2 linked regions of the Arabidopsis thaliana genome follow. The protein of the gene in region 2 purifies or fractionates together with the protein of the main gene of each other region. This does not show direct contact. Each region holds a gene or a part of one and is shown on either strand. Other genes may lie near its edges. The genes, in order: AT-HF and ACS.

What was found.
Region 1: the proteins of ACS (region 2) and AT-HF fractionate together in Arabidopsis thaliana (co-fractionation; one large-scale study listed by BioGRID). This does not show direct contact.

The regions. Positions count from the first base shown.
Region 1 is NC_003075.7:13,512,621-13,522,419, forward strand, and holds AT-HF (HIS HF), read left to right. Parts: upstream 1-2,811; 5' UTR 2,812-2,893; coding exon 2,894-3,080; intron 3,081-3,172; coding exon 3,173-3,255; intron 3,256-3,348; coding exon 3,349-3,443; intron 3,444-3,535; coding exon 3,536-3,639; intron 3,640-3,752; coding exon 3,753-3,922; intron 3,923-4,029; coding exon 4,030-4,144; intron 4,145-4,244; coding exon 4,245-4,300; intron 4,301-4,385; coding exon 4,386-4,424; intron 4,425-4,537; coding exon 4,538-4,636; intron 4,637-4,816; coding exon 4,817-4,879; intron 4,880-4,986; coding exon 4,987-5,049; intron 5,050-5,141; coding exon 5,142-5,224; intron 5,225-5,354; coding exon 5,355-5,463; intron 5,464-5,563; coding exon 5,564-5,617; intron 5,618-5,837; coding exon 5,838-5,925; intron 5,926-6,264; coding exon 6,265-6,302; intron 6,303-6,377; coding exon 6,378-6,483; intron 6,484-6,685; coding exon 6,686-6,852; intron 6,853-6,928; coding exon 6,929-6,988; 3' UTR 6,989-7,247; and 1 more. Other genes in the region: MAPKKK16 (mitogen-activated protein kinase kinase kinase 16), read left to right, coding at 1-786; AT4G26910 (Dihydrolipoamide succinyltransferase), read right to left, coding at 7,507-7,698, 7,776-7,970, 8,074-8,184, 8,277-8,367, 8,495-8,589, 8,732-8,998, 9,116-9,160, 9,251-9,306 and 2 more. UniProt on the Arabidopsis thaliana protein: IGPS catalyzes the conversion of PRFAR and glutamine to IGP, AICAR and glutamate. The glutaminase domain produces the ammonia necessary for the cyclase domain to produce IGP and AICAR from PRFAR.
Region 2 is NC_003076.8:14,532,396-14,543,206, forward strand, and holds ACS (acetyl-CoA synthetase), read right to left. Parts: upstream 8,047-10,811; 5' UTR 7,902-8,046; coding exon 7,842-7,901; exon of another isoform or gene 7,586-7,841; coding exon 7,533-7,585; intron 7,500-7,532; exon of another isoform or gene 7,234-7,499; intron 7,205-7,233; exon of another isoform or gene 7,013-7,204; intron 6,727-7,012; coding exon 6,513-6,726; intron 6,402-6,512; coding exon 6,258-6,401; intron 6,159-6,257; coding exon 6,003-6,158; intron 5,907-6,002; coding exon 5,784-5,906; intron 5,689-5,783; coding exon 5,520-5,688; intron 5,427-5,519; coding exon 5,344-5,426; intron 5,245-5,343; coding exon 5,143-5,244; intron 5,064-5,142; coding exon 4,975-5,063; intron 4,887-4,974; coding exon 4,796-4,886; intron 4,622-4,795; coding exon 4,508-4,621; intron 4,319-4,507; coding exon 4,242-4,318; intron 4,157-4,241; coding exon 4,078-4,156; intron 3,997-4,077; coding exon 3,928-3,996; intron 3,819-3,927; coding exon 3,643-3,818; intron 3,489-3,642; coding exon 3,432-3,488; intron 3,330-3,431; and 9 more. Other genes in the region: GSL09 (glucan synthase-like 9), read left to right, coding at 1-663, 741-791, 941-1,126, 1,287-1,535; BGLU42 (beta glucosidase 42), read right to left, coding at 9,769-9,964, 10,083-10,191, 10,369-10,471, 10,589-10,623, 10,707-10,811. UniProt on the Arabidopsis thaliana protein: Catalyzes the production of acetyl-CoA, an activated form of acetate that can be used for lipid synthesis or for energy generation. May play a limited role in the biosynthesis of lipids.

The sequences.
Region 1 (9,799 bases), on a different chromosome or scaffold from region 2:
TGTACGATGATCGAGATGATGACTGGATCAAGCCCTTGGCCGGAGTTAAACGACGTCGTTGCTGCAATGTATAAGATTGGATTTTCAGGCGAGTCGCCGGCGATTCCCGCGTGGATATCGGATAAAGCTAAAGACTTTCTGAAGAATTGTTTAAAGGAAGATCAAAAACAGAGATGGACTGTGGAAGAATTACTTAAACATCCATTTCTTGATGACGACGAAGAATCTCAGACAAGTGATTGTTTGAAGAACAAGACTTCTTCTCCAAGCACTGTGTTGGATCAACGATTTTGGGATTCATGCGAAAGCTCCAAAAGTCACTTAGTTTCGATTGATCATGAAGACCCTTTTGCTGAATACTCGGAATCTTTGGATTCACCGGCTGATCGGATCGAGAAACTCGCCGGAGATGAGTTTTCAAGCTTACTTGATTGGGATACGGAAGACGATGGCGGATGGATTCAAGTGAGAGGCGAGAAACATAAAGAAACCGAGAAACGCGACGGCGACGAAGACGTGATTTGCGTTGAAGCAACGTCATCGTCGCAAACGATTGAAGAAGTTGAAGATTGGATTTCGAATCAAGACAGCTTGTTCTCGGAATATTCCTCTGACGACATCATTAATAATTTCTACTCTAATGTTGCTATTCAAGGAAATTTAATTGCATTTCATTATTGTACTGATGAAGATGAAAATGTATCCATAAAGAATATGTTTCGTACTAATAACAAACATTTGTTTTTCAAATTGCAAGCTCATGTTAAATTCACTAACCAAGTCTGATGAAACAATGTCCATGTGTTCAAACTTCAAAATAAAAGAATCTATGTACATTAGTACATTACCTAAATATTTCCAATGCAACATATGCGTTAGGTTATGTGCTAACGATCACTATTGTATGGACTCTAGAAGACAATTCAAATTGCATATTTCAAAGTTGGAAACACAAGTCTTTGTGTTCTTGTTAGAGGTTACGTCAATCTATAAGATAAGATTGACTATAGACGAAGTCAAAACTGTACTTTGTCCAAGATTTATTTACACACGAAGTCATGTCAATACAATTTTGTGTGTGTTTACCTAAACCGCATAAGACCCCGTTATGTTAACGCAGACGACTCTCTGGGAGTACATAATCATAGTCGTAAATTAATTACTAAGCACCAAAATACATATTTGAACAAGTAAATAAAATGATATCTAATAACTTTAGTCAACTTTCACCGTCTGAAATCTAAAAACACACATACACCGACACTGATAATTTCGTCGGTCTTGAGAGTTGATAGTTCTACTCTATAGACATGATTATTGGAGCAGAACATTCCTACTTTGACACCGATACCTAACAAAACAAATTAGTTTATATCAATACCGTACAATTTATTAGGTACCGTTTGTAGAAATTTGTTGAAACATTAATTATATTTTTCTTCCCGTACTTATCCAAATACAACAATTTAAGAATACCACTTAATAGAATGATATCCTTTGGTCGACAATAGCTCTAAATCACTTTCACTTAGTATAAATGTATTATGTATAGTACAATTTTTTTTGATTATTTTATATTTAAGTATTTGTCTTCTTTTAAATCATTAAAACATTGATATGAACTGTTGTAAGCTAATACTATTACAAAATAAAATAAAACCATTGTTTCTTACCATCATTCTCATTGCCACTATCTTTAATATTTCATAAAAGCATAACATATAATAAAGTTTACCTACAAAATGAAAACTGATCACAGGTAGAAATAAGTTCGTTGTGACTTAAAAGTTGATGCTGATGATTGATGAGTCAGTGATGACGTCCTGGTGACATTCATCAAACGCATAACATACCAAAGTTACTTGTCATCTCTTTTTGTCTATCTTTTAGTTTTAGTATGGGTTTGTGAATTGGTGATAGTAGTAAGTGGTGAATGCCCAAATTTGACCACTTCATCGCATAATAAACTTATATAAAACAATCTGATAAAAATATTCACAATTACTGCAATCAAATTCTATGATGAAAATGGTTATTAAGTTTACCTGCAGAAACACATGCTATGATGTTCTCCAATTCAAAATAAATCAATTCAACCGATCCAAAAACCTACATAAATGTTTTGAATTTATGTATGATGTAAATGTAATAGTGTCTTGTTAAAACTAGAGCATGTTACTAAATCATTATATAGAAATGAGTCAGATAGAAGAAGTATTAAAAAGAGTTGACTTGAGAAAAAGGATGGGAACTTGGGAAGAGTTATTGTTGGCAAACACACTCAATAATAGCAAATATCATATAAACCTTTTATTTTTGTCCTTTTCTGTTTTGCTCATCTTTCATGCCTTGCATTAGATGGCTGGAGTTGGTGTATTACATATAAACCGTAAGCCCTTATATCCATTCTCCAATATTTAATTTCATCTCAAATTCAAACTGGTACTGAAAATTTATTATTTCTGTTGTTATTTCTCTAAGAGACTTATCTATATATATATCTCCTATGCATGATATACTATATAGAACTTTCAATATTTTTTTTTTTTTGATCAAAGATTATTTTCTTTTCTTTAACTTGTGTTTTATTAATCACTTTCTATCCGTTGTAAATCATATATATTAAGAGCATGAGTCTAAAATACTCACTTTTGGTGACTAGTAACTTTGCTGTACCTTCATTTTTTTTAAAAAGAGCTACAAGACTCTGTAAGAGTGAAACGAAGCCCAATCCCATTATCTGTTATGAAAAGTTCATAAAAGCCCAATTAATATACAAATTCACTACACGAGGAGAAACGACGTCGTTAGTGGAGTGGTAAGTGTTGACAAAGTGACGAGTGACGACGACCTTTTGAATTAACAATCGAAGCAGTGACTGAGTTTGATATCAATGGAGGCTACGGCGGCGCCATTCTCTTCAATTGTCTCTTCCAGACAAAACTTCTCTTCATCTTCTTCGATTCGCGCTTCTTCTCCGGCTTCTTTATTCCTCTCCCAGAAGAGTATTGGCAATGTTAATCGCAAATTCAAATCTCCCAGAAGCCTCTCCGTCCGCGCATCTTCTACCTCAGATTCTGGTACTTTCTATTGTTTTTCTGTTGCCCTGTTGTACTATATTTGATTAGTCTTATTTATTGCTGAATCTTTCTTCTGTCTCTTTGGTGAGTAGTTGTGACTTTGCTTGACTACGGAGCTGGAAATGTTCGGAGCATCCGCAATGCTCTTCGTCATCTCGGCTTCAGCATCAAAGACGTATGTTTTCGAATCTAAGTTTATTCCTTGTATATGTACTGATCTCTTATTGGCAAAATGAAATTGATTACATTTGGGAACTTGAAATGTTAGGTTCAAACGCCGGGAGACATTCTGAATGCTGATCGACTCATATTTCCAGGCGTTGGTGCTTTTGCACCCGCCATGGATGTACTTAACAGAACTGGGTACTTACTAATCACCTCTGCTGATTTTCTCATTTAGAATAATGTCTTACTTAGTTCTTAATATACGATTTTTGGTTCTTTGATTGTTGCAGGATGGCTGAAGCTTTGTGCAAATATATTGAGAATGACCGTCCATTTCTAGGCATATGTCTTGGTCTACAACTACTTTTCGATTCTAGTGAAGAGAATGGACCAGGTTTAGCTCCGTTGCTCCACTTTATATTATGTCTTCTAGAATTTTTCCCTCGATACATTCAACTACATTATGATATCATGTATTTTTGTACTTAACAACTGTATATGTGACAGTCAAAGGTCTTGGTGTGATACCGGGAATAGTTGGACGCTTTGATGCTTCAGCTGGTATAAGAGTACCCCACATTGGCTGGAATGCTTTGCAAGTTGGGAAGGATTCTGAAATTTTGGATGATGTTGGAAACCGTCATGTCTATTTTGTTCATTCGTACAGGGCCATTCCAGTATGGATCTAAATAATCTCTTCTTTCTTTCTGTCATTTTCGTATCTCTACCATATTGTATTCTCTTCTACATGCATGTGATAATTATAGTTTCATAATTTCTATAGTCAGATGAAAATAAGGACTGGATTTCGTCTACCTGTAATTATGGTGAATCATTTATATCTTCCATAAGAAGGGGAAATGTGCATGCAGTTCAATTCCATCCTGAAAAGAGCGGGGGTATGATAGTCTAGTCATTTTCTGGTGACATCTTTTTTCTCTTATTCAGAGTCTGTTTTCATATTTGGTATCGTACTAATTCTGAATATGGAACATTCAGAGGTGGGGCTTTCTGTTTTAAGAAGGTTCTTGCATCCAAAATTACCTGCAACACAGGTAGATTTCACTCTAGCCATACATGTACAATGTAATTCCTGATTTTTTTGGTGTCTAATGGAAACCACAATTCACTTGAAGACAGAAGCCAATGGAAGGAAAGGCCTCAAAACTTGCAAAGAGGGTAAGAAGTTTGTCCTGTTATTATTGAAAGTCTGCCTCCTTTGCAACATTGCTATCTTTGCTCTTAACTATTCTGGTAGGCAGTTTTTCTAATGATATTTTGTTTTCCTTTAGGTGATTGCTTGTCTTGATGTGAGGACGAATGATAAAGGAGATCTCGTAGTTACTAAAGGGGATCAGTATGATGTGAGAGAGCAATCTAATGAAAACGAGGTTTGTTGAAAATTGTTGCTTCAATGTCATATCCTGCGATGTGTTCTTTGTGAAAAATGAAACATTCTTGATATTTGGATGTTTTTGTGATACGTCCTTATCTTACCTTTAAGCTGTTGGGTTTAGCTAATTATTAACGTCTGTAACAATGCTCTGAATTCATTCCTTTTTCTTGCACAGGTTCGAAACCTTGGCAAACCTGTTGATTTGGCTGGGCAGTATTACAAAGATGGTGCAGATGAGGTATACTTTTACTGTATATGATCTCCTTGCAATATTATGTGAATGGCTCCAAGACACCTTTTTTAGATTTGGTTTGGCGCTTTACCGTGCTGTTTGTGGGTTTTCAGATTAGCTTTTTAAACATAACTGGATTCCGCGATTTTCCTCTAGGGGATTTGCCGATGATTCAGGTACCTAGATTTTTCATTCTCAGTAGAATATAAGTATTACTTCCACACCTTCCCTGTAATTTCCGATTTAGATCTCTTTTCATACTTTATAGGTGTTGAGGCAGACATCAAAGAATGTCTTTGTACCACTAACTGTTGGAGGTGGTATTAGAGACTTTACAGATGCTAGTGGCAGGTACATGTTAATCTTTTCAGCCTGTTTCTGTGAACATGTCTGTGCAGGCATTATGTTCTTTTATATTTCAGCAAGGACTTTGCAATTTTTATTCCCTACAACAATTTAACATCAAGTTAATTTGGCTCAGGTACTATTCTAGCTTGGAAGTTGCTGCTGAGTATTTCAGATCCGGTGCTGATAAGATCTCCATAGGAAGTGACGCTGTTTCTGCTGCAGAGGAGTTCATAAAATCAGGGGTAAGTTTGTAGTTGCCCGTCTAATTTATCCGAGTTGTTTTTCATGCTAGTATCTAAAAACGGAAGGATCATTTTATCCCCATTTTCCGCGTTTTTGTAGGTGAAGACAGGAAAGAGTAGTTTAGAACAGATATCCAGAGTTTATGGAAATCAGGTAATTGCTTACAGATCAGAACAATTGGCTTTCTTTTTTCTTGCTTGCAGAAAATAAAGGGATACTAGTTGCTTTACATTAGGATATTAATATCTTAGTTTTACAGATGGAGTAAACAGTGAATTGACTGTGTTTAGATAGCTGTTTCTCATGTTCTCTAGTTTATGTAAGAAATAGGAAACAGCTTTGCACTTATTTGATAGATTTTTTCGCTCCACAGGCAGTGGTTGTAAGTATTGATCCTCGTAGAGTTTATGTGAACCATCCGGATGATGTGCCATACAAAGTCATCAGAGTAACTAATCCAGGTATGCTGGTATTCTCACCTCTCTTATATTTGCTTTCTCATTTGTTCAAAGGAAAATTATGTAGGCTGGCTATATATCATGCATTAAATGGATTAATTTGAGCTTTCTAATACATTAAAATTACAAGGCAAATGTTATTAACTTATTATTGCTATGTTAACTCAGAACTCTATTTTCCTAACGGACATTATATAATTCATCTTGCGTCAATCTTAGTTTAGCTTTCGTTGAAAAGCCTTGAGCTGCTTGAACTACACAAGCAGCACAGTCACATTGTATAGAGTTTCTCCATAAATTTGCATACATGTAATAACCGGGATGAAATCTTGCTGGTGTTAGGCCCAAATGGAGAAGAATATGCCTGGTATCAGTGCACGGTAAAATTTCGGCCACCCTTTTCATTTTAAGATCGATTTGTATCATTTCTTAACTATTGGTTTCTCAACTAAAAGGTCAGTGGAGGACGAGAAGGTCGACCTATTGGAGCATTTGAGCTTGCGAAAGCGGTTGAAGAATTAGGTGCCGGTGAAATACTATTGAACTGCATAGACTGTGATGGTACACTCAAAACTTCAATCTTTGAATTAGTTTCATGTCTGAAAATTTGGACCACCTTTACACACGATGAGAACTAAATATGATCCACGAAAAACAAAAAAGCACACAACCACCTTTTAAACTACACTGCTGCTGGAGTTAAAGATCAATGTATTATAAGTTTTTATCTCCTTATGATGCCTTCCTTCTCTGCGAGTTTCAGGTCAAGGGAAAGGATTCGACATAGACTTAGTAAAGCTCATCTCAGATTCAGTAGGCATACCGGTGATCGCAAGCAGTGGAGCAGGTACTCCCGACCACTTTTCCGAGGTGTTTGAGAAGACAAACGCATCTGCCGCGCTTGCTGCCGGCATTTTCCACCGGAAAGAGGTAACCGTTTTTACTCTTGTTAAAACCTTTTGCGTTTATACCTGGTAACACTATTATTCTACTATTTTGTATAAAGGTACCAATCCAATCTGTGAAAGAGCACTTACAAGAGGAGCGCATAGAAGTCAGGATCTGAGAATTTTCTGGTCTGCGTGTTACCATAATTCATGACACATTCAACAAGATAGAATCTTTACCTTCAATAAATTAAATTAAGTCGGAACCATCGGAGCTCCAATAGGTCTGAGTGAATCCTCTTATAGTTGATTTCCTTTTGTTGACAGTAAGACTGATACAATTTATGGATTTCCCTTGAAAGTAAGAAAGCAACGTATGTTCACTTTCTCAGCTTTTCTATTTAATACAAAGAAAGCATGTAACTTCTCTCTCGTCTAGATCTTATTAGGAAATCATTCAATCCGAAAAACCTCAAAAGGGTATCTTATTCAGTCAAAATTGAACATATCTGTATCAAACTGTGTAAAAAGTAAGAACGTAGACACTGAGGCCTATTCTTCCAATCCCGCAATACTCGGGAAACTGTAAAGAAACTTGAAAGATAAGAATTGTTGTTACCCCCAAACGTTTTAAAGACACTGCAGGTCTATAACTGGCAAAAGCCAGACACTTTGTGACTCCTCGAAACCAAATCTTTTATATGTCAAGAAGAAGCCTTTGTGGATCCTCCACAACATCCTTGACACGGCGCAGGAAGTACACAGCCTCTCTACCATCAATCAGCCTGTGATCATACGTAAGTGCGACATACATCATTGGTCTAGGCACTACGCTTCCTCCTACTACCATTGGACGTGACACAATCGAGTGCATGCCGAGTATGGCAGACTGCAAAACCACAGGTTACTGTTAACAAAAAACGTGGTTCTGACTGGGACCCGGTGAGATGGGAAATAAATTTAAACCTGAGGAGGATTAATGATCGGAGTGCTTATGAGACTTCCATAGACACCGCCATTTGAAACGGTGAATGATCCGCCAGCCATCTCATCTATGGATATGGTTCCTTCATTTGCCTTCTTGGCAAGTGAGTTTATCGTCTTCTCTATCTCGGCAAAGTTCATTTTATCAGCACCTCTTATGACTGGTACTACAAGTCCCTGGATAAGAGACCACAAGAAAAAAAATTCAGCCTCACATACATGATCGCAATAAGAATGAAATTTAGCACAAACCAATGATAGCTAAAGAATGTGAACTAACCTTAGAGGTACCAACAGCGATACTGATATCCACATAGTCTCTGTATATGATATCATCCCCGTCAATAACTGCATTTACAACTGGTTGATGCTGAAGGGCGCTAACAGCAGCCTGAGACAGATAACGAAGAATAGGGTATTATTTTTGCTATCATTTAACTCTGGCATTGTATTATTAATATCGAAAAATAAGTAAGTGTATACTTTAATAAATCCAGACATAAGCCCCAACTTCACTCCATGCTTTTCATAAAATGCATCCTTGTATTGGGATCGGAGCTTCATCAAATTTGTCCTACACGCAGAAAAGAGCTCCATAATTAGCAAATAAAATCAAACTGACTAGTATAATTCAGTGCACCAAAAGGACTCGCATAACTGATATAGACATATCAACTTGACGGGTTTAAGCTGTTACTCACATATCAACTTCATTGAAAGTTGTCAGCAACGCGAAAGTATTTTGAGAGTCTTTCAATCTTGTTGCAACTCGTTTCCGAAGTCTTGTCATCGGAACCTGCAGTGTTGTTAGATGTCATATCACTGATTATGTGACTGTAAAGCTTTTTATTAGGTAACAAACTAACTTTATTTAACCTCTGATCAGTCATTTAAAAATTTTCAGACGGAAGCCAGGAAAAATGATAGATTTTGCATACCCGTCTTTCTCTTTCCTTAGGAGGAAGCTGCGGTTCTTTAGCAGACTGTTTGGGTGGAGGTGGTGAGGATGGTGCTTTGGGTTTCTCTGCTACAGGAGCACTTTCCACTCTGGGCTTCTGCTTATCTTCAGCAGGAGGAGAAGGTTTGGTATCAGTTGTCTCTGGTATCTTCTGAGAGGGGGTAACCTGAGATGCAGTATCCTCAGACTTTGATATAATAGCGACCTTGGTTCCTGGTTCTACAGTATCTCCTTCGTTGACTAGAAACTGCATTAGAAGACAAAATCAAACAGGTCTAGTCAGTGAAGACTAACTATAGAGAGACACCAGAAAGAGAACAACAATAACGACTGAATAAACAACACAAAGAGCAAACATATTTACCTCTTGGATTACACCACTTGCTGGGCTAGCAATATCTATTGTCACCTAATCCACAAATATGAATCAAATAATAGATTTTAAAATTTAACACAGATGTCTTTAGAAAAATGACAAAGAAAAAATAAATATTGATACCTTATCAGTTTCAATTTGTGCAATAGCCTCATCAGCCTGGACTCTCTCACCAGGTTCTGAAATGTGCCAGCAAATTAACTTTTAGATATATATTCAGACATCAGAAAGAACCGGAAAAGATAATGCAAAAGAGACATACTCTTCAGAAAGGTGGCCAAGGTGCCATCAGTAATTGATTCCCCCATATGAGGCACAACTGCTTCCACGGTATCTCCTTCAGTAACAATAACAAGAAAGCGTGTGAGAAAACCCTACAAATCCAATCAAAGCTACAGTAGTAGCAGATTGCAAAACCATAATTAAGAGATACACGTTTCATAAGAATCTGCATCCGAATGGAATCAAAACTATGAGCTCCTGGATTTCTTCTAAGCAATCATAGGTTCCCAGATATGGCAAACCTAATACCACAACAAAAAGAGAGAAAGAGCTCAGGTTGAACATACATACCAGTTTCAGCTGAAAAAGGCCTGACCCATCTTTGCAGGGTTGAAGAAACTAAACTCGCCGACCTCGAGATGCCCGAGTTCCCTGCTAGTGGGATACAAA
Region 2 (10,811 bases):
TCGCAGTCGTTCGTGCAGATTGTTTTTTTGATGGCCATGCCTATGATCATGGAGATTGGGCTTGAGAGGGGATTTTATGACGCCCTATTTGATTTTGTATTGATGCAGCTACAACTTGCTTCCGTATTTTTCACATTTCAACTTGGGACAAAATTTCATTACTACTGCAAGACATTGTTGCATGGAGGCGCAGAATACAGAGGTACTGGCCGTGGATTTGTGGTGTTCCATGCCAAATTTGCTGAAAACTACAGGTTTTACTCTCGTAGTCATTTTGTGAAGGCTACTGAGCTAGGGATTCTCCTACTCGTGTATCACATATTTGGCCCAACCTATATAGGGTTGTTCACTATTTCGATATGGTTCATGGTGGGTACATGGCTCTTTGCTCCTTTCTTATTCAACCCATCTGGTTTTGAGTGGCATGAAATTGTCGAAGACTGGGCAGATTGGAAAAAATGGATTGAATATGATAATGGGGGGATAGGTGTTCCTCCAGAGAAGAGCTGGGAATCATGGTGGGAGAAGGATATTGAACATCTTCAACACTCGGGAAAATGGGGTATCGTTGTTGAGATTTTTTTTGCATTACGCTTCTTCATATTTCAGTACGGACTTGTGTATCAACTCAGCGCCTTTAAAAATAAATATAGTAGTTTATGGGTAAGCTACTTATGTCGCTTCCTTTTTGAATTCATTACTTGAGTCTCTTAGTTTTGCTAAATACTTTTTTTTTCCAGGTTTTTGGGGCTTCATGGTTACTGATCTTAATCCTTTTACTCACTGTGACGGTATGTAGAACAGTTCATGTCGAGTTTTTTTCTATATGAGATACTAGACTGATTAAATTGTCCGAGTCTCCTTGAATGCTAGATATAAATATGTTAAGTGATCCATGGGTGCTAAGCGATGGATTTTGTTTTCAATGCAACTATCACAGGTTTTGGATTATGCAAGGCGACGGCTGGGAACAGAGTTCCAACTTTTATTCAGGATCATCAAGGTTTCCTTGTTTCTCGCATTTATGGCAATATTCATTACTCTCATGACTTGTCGTCTTATACTACCCCAAGACGTCTTCCTCTGCATGCTTGCATTAATCCCAACTGGATGGGGATTACTACTTGTAAGTCTTCCTGCTCTATCAAACTTCGCCAAATGTTTTAAAACATGTCTTTATTGAGTGTCTGAGATATTTTTATGTATTCTGCTTCTAGGGTTTTCCAAATCCTTGAGGATGTTTAGGATTGTGTTCATATTAAATTATTTTACTGTTCTCCTTCCAGATTGCACAATCTTGTAAGCCTCTGATTCAACAACCAGGGATATGGTCTTGGGTGATGACGTTGGCTTGGGTCTACGACCTCGTGATGGGTTCTCTCTTGTTTATTCCAATAGCGTTTATGGCCTGGTTCCCATTCATATCGGAGTTCCAAACGAGAATGCTCTTTAACCAAGCCTTTAGCAGAGGTCTACATATCTCACGTATTCTCAGTGGTCAGAGAAAACACCGCTCCTCCAAGAATAAAGACTGAGAACCCTATTTGCAGGCAATTGTATTTGGTATATGTGTGCATGCTTTGTAAGGGAAGGCAAATGTGATATACTAAAACCTCTATAAATTAATACTTGATAAATTAATAACCTATATAAGTTAATAATTTTTTGGATATGAGTTGGGACCAATGTAATTTGTTTTTGAAAATTTTATATAAATATATAATCCCATCAATTCTTCAAAAGTCAAGGAAAGGTTAAAATCTGGTCTCATAGCTTCGTTAATGATTGTGGTAATTTATTGAGGAAGATTATGTTTAGGGGGTGCTGCATAATCACAGTGTCAAATGGTGGGTGAGTTTTCTAAAGATAAGTTCTTTAGAAAAACATGATTTAGTGACTTGTATTATTATTCCGCTAGAGTTTAAATTTTGGGTAAAAGGCTTGTTATTATATATAAAAAGCAATTTTTGAAACGCAAAAAATATACTTCCTCTGTTACAAACTAAAAATATTTAAAATTTGACCCATATATCAATCAATCACTTGATATTTAAATTTTTCTAAATTAAAATATAAATTATTATTTTCTAAATTCCACTTAACCAATAATAAATCAATCTACAAGATAAAAAATAATCTCAAAAAATATTTCTTATAGTAAGAACTGTTAAAAAAATGATTAACATCACTTAATAGAAACTATTTTTTATTTTTATTAAAACATAAATTAATAGGAGAAAAAGCTGGTACACTGAAAAAAAAAATCTTTGAAACTTGCGTCACGGCAGGAAGACAACTAGCTAAAACAAACGCCAATATGTTTATATTTTTGTAACTTTTAATTAATTTGATAATCCTATGACCATCTTATCCAAAACCAAATTCATGAGACTGAAATTTCTTTATTCAAAAACACAACAATATAGTCTGCTTACTTTATTCCCTCCAAAACACCTGAATCTTGTTTCAGATTTTTGTACCATTCCCTCTATAAGACACCTGAAAACATATATAGATGCACAAAACTCCATTACTCTCCATTGGCTCATATGCTATGGTTAGTCATCACACATCGGCAAGTGCAATAAGCTGATCAACTACACTAGGATCCGCGAGTGTGCTAGTATCTCCGAGTTCTTCTAATTGCCTCGAAGCAATCTTTCTCAAGATTCTCCTCATTATCTTTCCGCTTCTCGTCTTTGGCAACCCTGGTGCCCAATGTATTCTGTCCGGTGCTGCAAAAGCCCCAATCTGGAAATGGCAAAATTCATACCGATACTCATCAGAAGTGTGCAAAGAACAGTTCCTCAAAAGTTTAGCATCTCTAAAGCTTAAGCATTCACTTTTTCCTTAATATATATCATACCTGATTTCGGACCATTAGTACTAGGCTTTTACGAAGCTCCTCGCTGTAAGGAACACCTTCCAGAAGAGTGACAAACGCATAAATTCCCTGACCTTTTACCTGATACAAGCAAGAGCCTTGACCGTTAGTTACTTTGGTGTGTGATAAGAAGCAAACTGATTTCAGCTTTTATTTGACTGGTAAATGAAGAACGCGGAATCAAGAACAAAATCAAACCCAAGAACCATGAAGAAACCCTAGGTTGTTATAGAGAGCTAGAAGACTCTTCCTGCCTCGATAACTAATTAAACATCATAAGTCATTTCTTGAACTCTTATCAGTGTCATACTGTGCTTCATATCCCAACCACTTATGCATAGTCAGTCCACATACCTCATGTTCTATGCCTACAACAGCTGCTTCTGCACATTGAGGGTGTAAAACCAGAGCAGATTCTACTTCAGCAGTTCCGATTCGATGGCCACTGTGCATTAGAGAAAAATCCAGACATAAGTATAGATTTGAGTGGTAGGAATATTGGAGGTTTAAGGAATTTATTGACATCGTTTTAGATTTTGTGTTCTACCTGACGTTGATAACATCATCAACCCTCCCTGTAAGCCAGTAGTAACCATCCTTGTCTCTGGAATACAAAATAGAACTTATTAAAAACTTAGTCAAATTCACCCGACTTTGGATATTATCAATATATTAAAACGCCTCTATCTAAGCGATAGTTGAAAGATGGCACACTAACTAGAAATTGGTTTTTGTGAAAAGTAAGATAGATTATCCACCTGCTGCAACCATCACCACTGAAATAATATCCGGCAAAAGGTTTAAAGTATGTGGTTTCGTATCTTTCATGATCCCCAAACAGAGTTCGAAACGCCCCGGGCCATGAACCTTTGACACAAAGATAACCACTACACTCGCCTTCGATTTCATTGCCCTTTTCATCAACTATGACAGGCTGCAGCATACACAGAGAGATAGAGATGAGAGTGAAGCCCTCTCCAAAGAAGAATATCTCTAGAAAGAAGCAATATGCTAATTATTAATTTGCACTACAAATCACATACCTGAACACCAAAGAAAGGGAAAGTGGCTGAACCAGGTTTCTGGGGCCAAGCACCTGGCAATGGGGTTATCTGCGATGCAATTTGATGCACATGAGAGAAAGAGAGCATGCAAGAGGTTTTAAGAGAGATAAAGAGGGAGTAGAGGGTTACCATGAAGCCACCAGTTTCAGTTTGCCACCACGTATCTGAAATGGGACACCTTGAATCACCGACTACATTGAAGAACCATCTACATCAAAGATTCGGTTAACCATTAAATATAGTTCCCATTCAACTGACCGCAGGAATAAATCTAGAGATATTAGAGTTCAAACCTCCAGGCACTAGGATTGATGGGCTCACCAACACTTCCAAGGACCCGCAGCGATTTGCGCGAGTGACGTGTTACAAACTATAACAATTAAAATGAGTTGAAACGGAAATAATTAGTAAATGATGTAGAGACCTAAAAGTATTATCCCACACACAAGGCTTAATTTACTATACAAAAATTAGAGGGCAAATAAATACAGCCGTAGCTTACAAATCATTACAATACTGATTACTTTTCACCGCAACAGAAAGATTGCATATATCTTACCTTATCGTCATCGCGCATGAGAGACCTCACCAATGTTGGGGCAGTATAAAATATTGAAACCTTGTATTTGTCAACAATATCCCAACAGCGTCCAGGGTCAGGGTAGTTTGGAGCCTGTTCAAAATCAGATTATAATATCAAAATCCATATGAAAGATATGAACAGTAAAACCAATTTGCGCTTAAATGCTGCTAGCTCTTTAATGTATTACTATGGGAGAGGGACCTAGAGCTTAATTATTGATTTAAGACATTAACTGATAGAAAACCATATATTCAAATAGATTACCCCCTCAAAGACAACAACAGTGGCTCCATTAAGCATTGGTCCATAAGTAACATAGCTATGGCCAGTTATCCAACCACAATCTGCTGTACACCTTATGTTAGAAAAGCAAAGAGATTAGCACTATATAGCATAGCTTTTGGTAAGGAAGTTTAACAGTCAAGACAAGTGTCTTTGCATACCAGTATACATCTGTTGATTTGTAGTCAAATGCATATTTGAACGTTGTAGCAGTGTAGATCATATACCCTCCAGTTGTGTGTAGGACACCCTTCAAAAACCAATATTTAATAGAGAAACATATCAAAAATCTACGCTAAAGATTTAATCTAACCAAGGACCAAAGTTACCTTTGGCTTCCCAGTACTTCCACTGGTGTAGAGCAAAAACAGGGGATCTTCTGCATCAACCCATTCCACCTCACACGATGTTGGATATTGAGAAATAACATCCTAAAGTGATCACCACCACCCACAGAAGACTTTTAGAACCATTCGAAAAAAAAAAACAATGAAGGAATTTTGACAATTATTAAGTTGCTCTGCAGTTACCTGCCACCACACATCTCTTCCATTCTGCCATTTAGTGTTTTCCCTTGTTGTCGCTAATGAGTTGTCATAGGTCAAGCATATGCCTGGTTGTAGAGAAGTAAAACACAGAAAATCATCAGTTATATATCCATCAAACCAACAACCACTCAAATTCAGATTCTGGTGAATGAACAAACCTACAGAGACTCCATCTTTAGAAGATTGGTCAAGTGCAGCATCAACAATAGCTTTAAGGTTTATGGTCTTAGGGCCTCTTTTAACAGCATTGCAAGTCAGTATTACATTTGGCTTGCAATCAACGATTCTTTGGGCAAGAGAGTCCGCAGAAAATCCAGCAAAAACGACCTGTGGGAGAATTGAATTAGTTTCGAAACTGGTTTTGTGTTAATGAATTAGGTATATGTTGTATTGTAGAAAAATGTACGAAAATCACAAGTTACCGAATGAACAGCTCCGATCCTTGCACATGCAAGCATAGCGATGGGAAGTTCCATCAACATAGGTAAATAAATTACAACAGCATCACCCTTCTTCACTCCATTATCTTTCAAGTAATTAGCAAGCTGCAGCACAAGGACAAGGAAAATGCAGTGCCAGAAAAATAATGAGAAAGAAGAGCTCTAGAGGTGGTTGGAGAGGACGAAAAACAGTGTTTATACCTGGCAAACTCGTTGGAGCAACTCAGAATAAGTTAAGGAAGCATCTACCCCAAGTTCATTTCCTTCCCAGTGTATGGCTGTTTTATCACCCAAACCAGCTTCAACGTTTTTGTCCAAACAGTTGTAGCAAATATTGGTGATTCCCCCTTTAAACCACTGGTCATACATGATCCCAGACATGTCATCACGACGAAACATTTTCTAATAGGAGATACAGGAATTAGAACAAAGAAAAAGAAGAAGAAAAATATCCACCTCGATGCTAATAGGACCCTTCCTGACATCGAGATTCTCGGAAAACACTTGGTCACCCCATTTCTGCTTCCAGTAAAACTCAGACGCAATATCAGACCAAAAAGCAGCAGGGTCATCCATCGACCTCTTATGCATTTCCATGTACTGCATACAAATAACAAGACGAGAGATGATTTACAGATCATAAAAGCAAGCAGAGAAGATGAGGTCTGCTGATCTAGGACTCATTTGATGTTACAAGGTATAAAGAGAGACCTGTTGAGGGGAGGAAACAAGAGCCTGGCCGGAGAATTCCTTGCTGGGAAAGACGAGATCATTCTCCTCCGATGCAAGGGATTCTCCTAACACGACGGCGTTTAATTGAGAGATCTTTCCGGCACCTGAGGGTAGCTGGGACATGGACTCGACATGCCTCAGGGAATTAGACGACATTTTCCTATGGAGGAGAAGATTCTCCGATGGGGATGATCTAATATACATACAATTAGAACTTATAAGAAGTCATAACAAACAAGCAAAATCACAAATGTTTTAACTTATGTTAAAAATACTTTGGTAAATTCGGTAAGACTATTAGACTGTTAAATGAATTTCCTCTGTTGACTAAACACCAAATAAATCCAATGATAAACCAAAAAGTAATCCAAAATCTGTAAGAACTCAAATAGAAAAGAAATACTTATGAGTCACCTATGGGGGAAAAGCGAAAGATGAACTAAAACTTATTGTGAAATGTGAAGTCTCAAAGACTAAACCTTTTAACTTCAAACAAAGTTACCAACACTAATCAAGGAAGACACAAACAAGCCTGAAACAGGTTACTCTAAAGAATTGGGACAGCTCCATCACGAATCCAGTCAAATAAATAACCTAACAAATCGAAAAAGTCTGAAAAACATAAATATCAATAAAGTCCAAATCTTTAATATTCAAAACAATTCTCCAACACTGTCTTTTTCTTAAAGCCAGTAATCACCATGTTCAAAGTTCAAGGGGTCACAAATGCGGTCTAAAGTTCAAAGCAACGGCCAACGGGTAATATCAATAAACAACAATCAAGACATAGAACCTCATCCTTAAACCCTGAATCATCAACAACATATCAACATCACATCACATCATCAACAGCATATTCATCATTATCCTTTTACCCTCATCAGTCATCATCATATCATTATCATATCATCATCACTATAACAGAAAATTTCAAACATTTTCTTACACTCATGATTCTAAATTTCGAATCAAATTTCAGAAAGAAAAAAAAAACCTCACCTTTGAGTAGCCGGAAGGATTCGAGATCCAAGTGATCCACTAATTTTCGGATCCTGAACAAAAAAAGAACAAAATCAGAACATCAAAAGATAAAAAGACTGAAACTTTACGAAACCCAAATCAAAGATCATATCTTTCCTATTCCAATGATCATAAGATTCGATTTCAATGTCCAATTTTTGTAATAAATAAAAAAACGAAAACGACTCACTGGGTCGTATTTGAAGACTGTAACGAGACAAAAAAAACAAAACTTGAAAATTCTTAAATAGAGAACATGTTCGTGTTCGTAAGAATAAGTCAACTCACCAATGAGCCTGAGCTGGAGACAACGCTGAGAATCGGGGAAGAAGGAGATCCTATTTTCATTTTCGTTTTTTTTTTTTTTTTGCCTTAATTACCTTTTTTTATTATTCCTCGTTTTTTGTTCATTATTAAATTTGCCTGCCTTGTGCTCACCTACTTATATACCCTTCCATAGTATTTGGCATGAACGTGACTTGGTAGAGTGTGGTACGGTTCTTGTCTCGGACTATTTAAGTACGATGCAGATTTTGTAAAAACGTAACGTGTTTTTGATTTGTGGACCACTTATGAATCTTATCAAGTATCTAAAATTAGACATTTCATGTGCGTAGATGTCAATTACTTGTTTCTAAGAATTAAGAAACATATAAGTTATTGTTTCTGAAATCGTGTAGGATAATTTATCTACTAATTATGGAGTATTGTATAGTATATTTGGATTCAAACAACTCATTTACGAAAAATATTGAAAATTCAAAATTAGTCTACCTTCCAGGTTATCAAGTTCGACCGCTAGTCAATTGATTTTTTTTAACGTATCTATAGATATTATATAGTTATATAATGTTAAAATAAAATAATCATACCATGTTTAATTAACAAAAGATGAAATCTAACATAACAACGAAGTGATTATAATTTTGAAATCCAACTAAAACCAAAAATAAATACTAAGATAGTAGGAAATGATCAATAAGACGAGACTCAAAGAGTAATAATCTCACTCTTAAAACTCGTCTTTGCAGATGCAAGATAAGTAAGAAAACAATTAGGTTCAAATATTTGAGTACTAAATTATTTGAGAAAGAGCAATGAAATTATTGAAAATAAGTTACGGTATAATAACTATGTCTATGAATTCTTCATATGCCCAGAACCATAATCATATAGCTTAGCTTTGTTCCTTTAGTTTAAAGTGATCTGTTGAGAAACATAAGGAATGCATATTTTGTTGATGAGTTAGGATATAACTTCATTGTTTAACTTTTTCTATTATATGCTTTTCTTGTTAAGGAGAACCTTTAACAATGTTTTTGATGTCACTGTAAGCATAGCAGCATACAGATCAGTTTCAAATTAAAGGAAACAGTTAAGATAATGGGAATCAAGTAATGTAATTATATGAACTTCTTATTTGAGTATTATTGAGAATTTGAAACTTAAAAGCGTGTTGTGTCGTCATATTAGATGCAAAACAAAATAACATTCAAGCTTGATCCTCCAGTCAACATAGGTTCCTAGAATGTGACAGAATCTGGTTGAACAATGGCTTCATCAGTCTTATCGTCATGCTTATTCTGTTATCCAAGTAGACAAAAGAGTTGTAAGTAATTAATGTTCACATGTATAACCGAGATGATAACAATTGAACAATCAAAATAGAGAAAACAAAAAAAGTTTGGTTGAATCTTTTCCAACTACGTCCAATAACGAGGCCGTTGAATTATATGATCAATCGAATCACACACAAGTCACTAAGGCTTTGTGACGACCAGAGAAATTGGCTACAATTCGATTTTAGAACTGGAGAGTCGAACATCTCTAGCGTGATACAAAGTCGAACATGTGTGATCTCTAACTATCCAAGAACCTCCACACATGGACTTCGATTCCTTCTTCTTGGCTAAATTCGATATTCACTATCAAACATTGTTAAACCAGTCTAACTCTAATACATCGTTTAAGACACTCTAAAGTAACTCTTTCAATATTCACTATTGAACTCTTAAGTAACTCTTTCGATAGGTAAGAAGAAGAAAATCGATGTAATACGAAACACTTAGTCAAAATATGAGTTTAAAACCAAAGAGCACCCCAAGTGATTTGGTTTGTTATTGAACTAATTGATCTATTTGGTACAAAAATTATAACATCACAACACATTTCATGTAAAATGCTGTAGTAGCTTTAGTTTTCTTTGATCCTTTTTTCATTCCTTCTTACCTTTGTTTTCTTCATCACCTTTCAGAAATTTCATGAACCAGTAAGCAGATGATTTTGGGTGACGGGTTAAACCGTTCTTGTAGTCTACATATACCAAACCAAATCTCTTGGTGTACCCTTGCGCCCACTCGAAGTTGTCCAGCAGCGACCACGCAAAGTATCCCTTTATGTCCACTCCGTCTCTGTTTCAATTTTCGCCATTAACATAACACTCTCACTAATTTACTTGATAAAAATTCTCTGTTTCCTAAGTTTTTGTCGCTTGTAAACAACTGAATGAAGGGAAAAATGTTGACTTACTCAATAGCCTGGGAGACGTTGGCAAGGTAACTCTTGAAATAGTCAACTCTACGTTTATCGTCAAGCATATCATGAATAGAGGCCGATCCATCATCTTCATCATCCATACCTGTCGTGTTGGACCAAGAAACCTTAACCTCAGGATATATATAATAGAAGTTCAATTTGACCAAAATAATTCATTGTTTCCAACTTTTTTTTGGATAACAAAACTACTGCTATTCTTAACACGCTATGCATTGTACTATATTAAGCTGTACCATAGAGTTACAAGGATAGTAAATACCATTTTCAGTGATAAATATTGGAGGGTGGTTATATTTTTTGCTCATGTAATTCAATGTCTTTCGGATTCCCCAAGGCACAGCATAAAGCCAATCCGAAGCAGCCTGTAATTGGCACAGATTATTTAGTTTATTACTAGCTTACACATCCTTGCCTTAAGCAGATGTGCAGAAATGTCAATAAAATCATTAGATTAGCTGAGACTAAGAAGAGAATCTTACCCTTTCGCCTATCAAATCTCCATTTTCCAGTTCAACTGTGCACGGAAAGAATAGAGGATGAATACTAGGAAACAAGTAAGAAGATACTATTAGCATAAGAAATTTCAGCATTTGTTACCAATCCTCTCCAATTCTTGTGCTTGGTAAAAGTTACTCTCAGCTTCTTTGTTTGAGACATGAGAAATCAACCTCGACGTATAGTGGTTCAGGCCAAGGAAGTCCC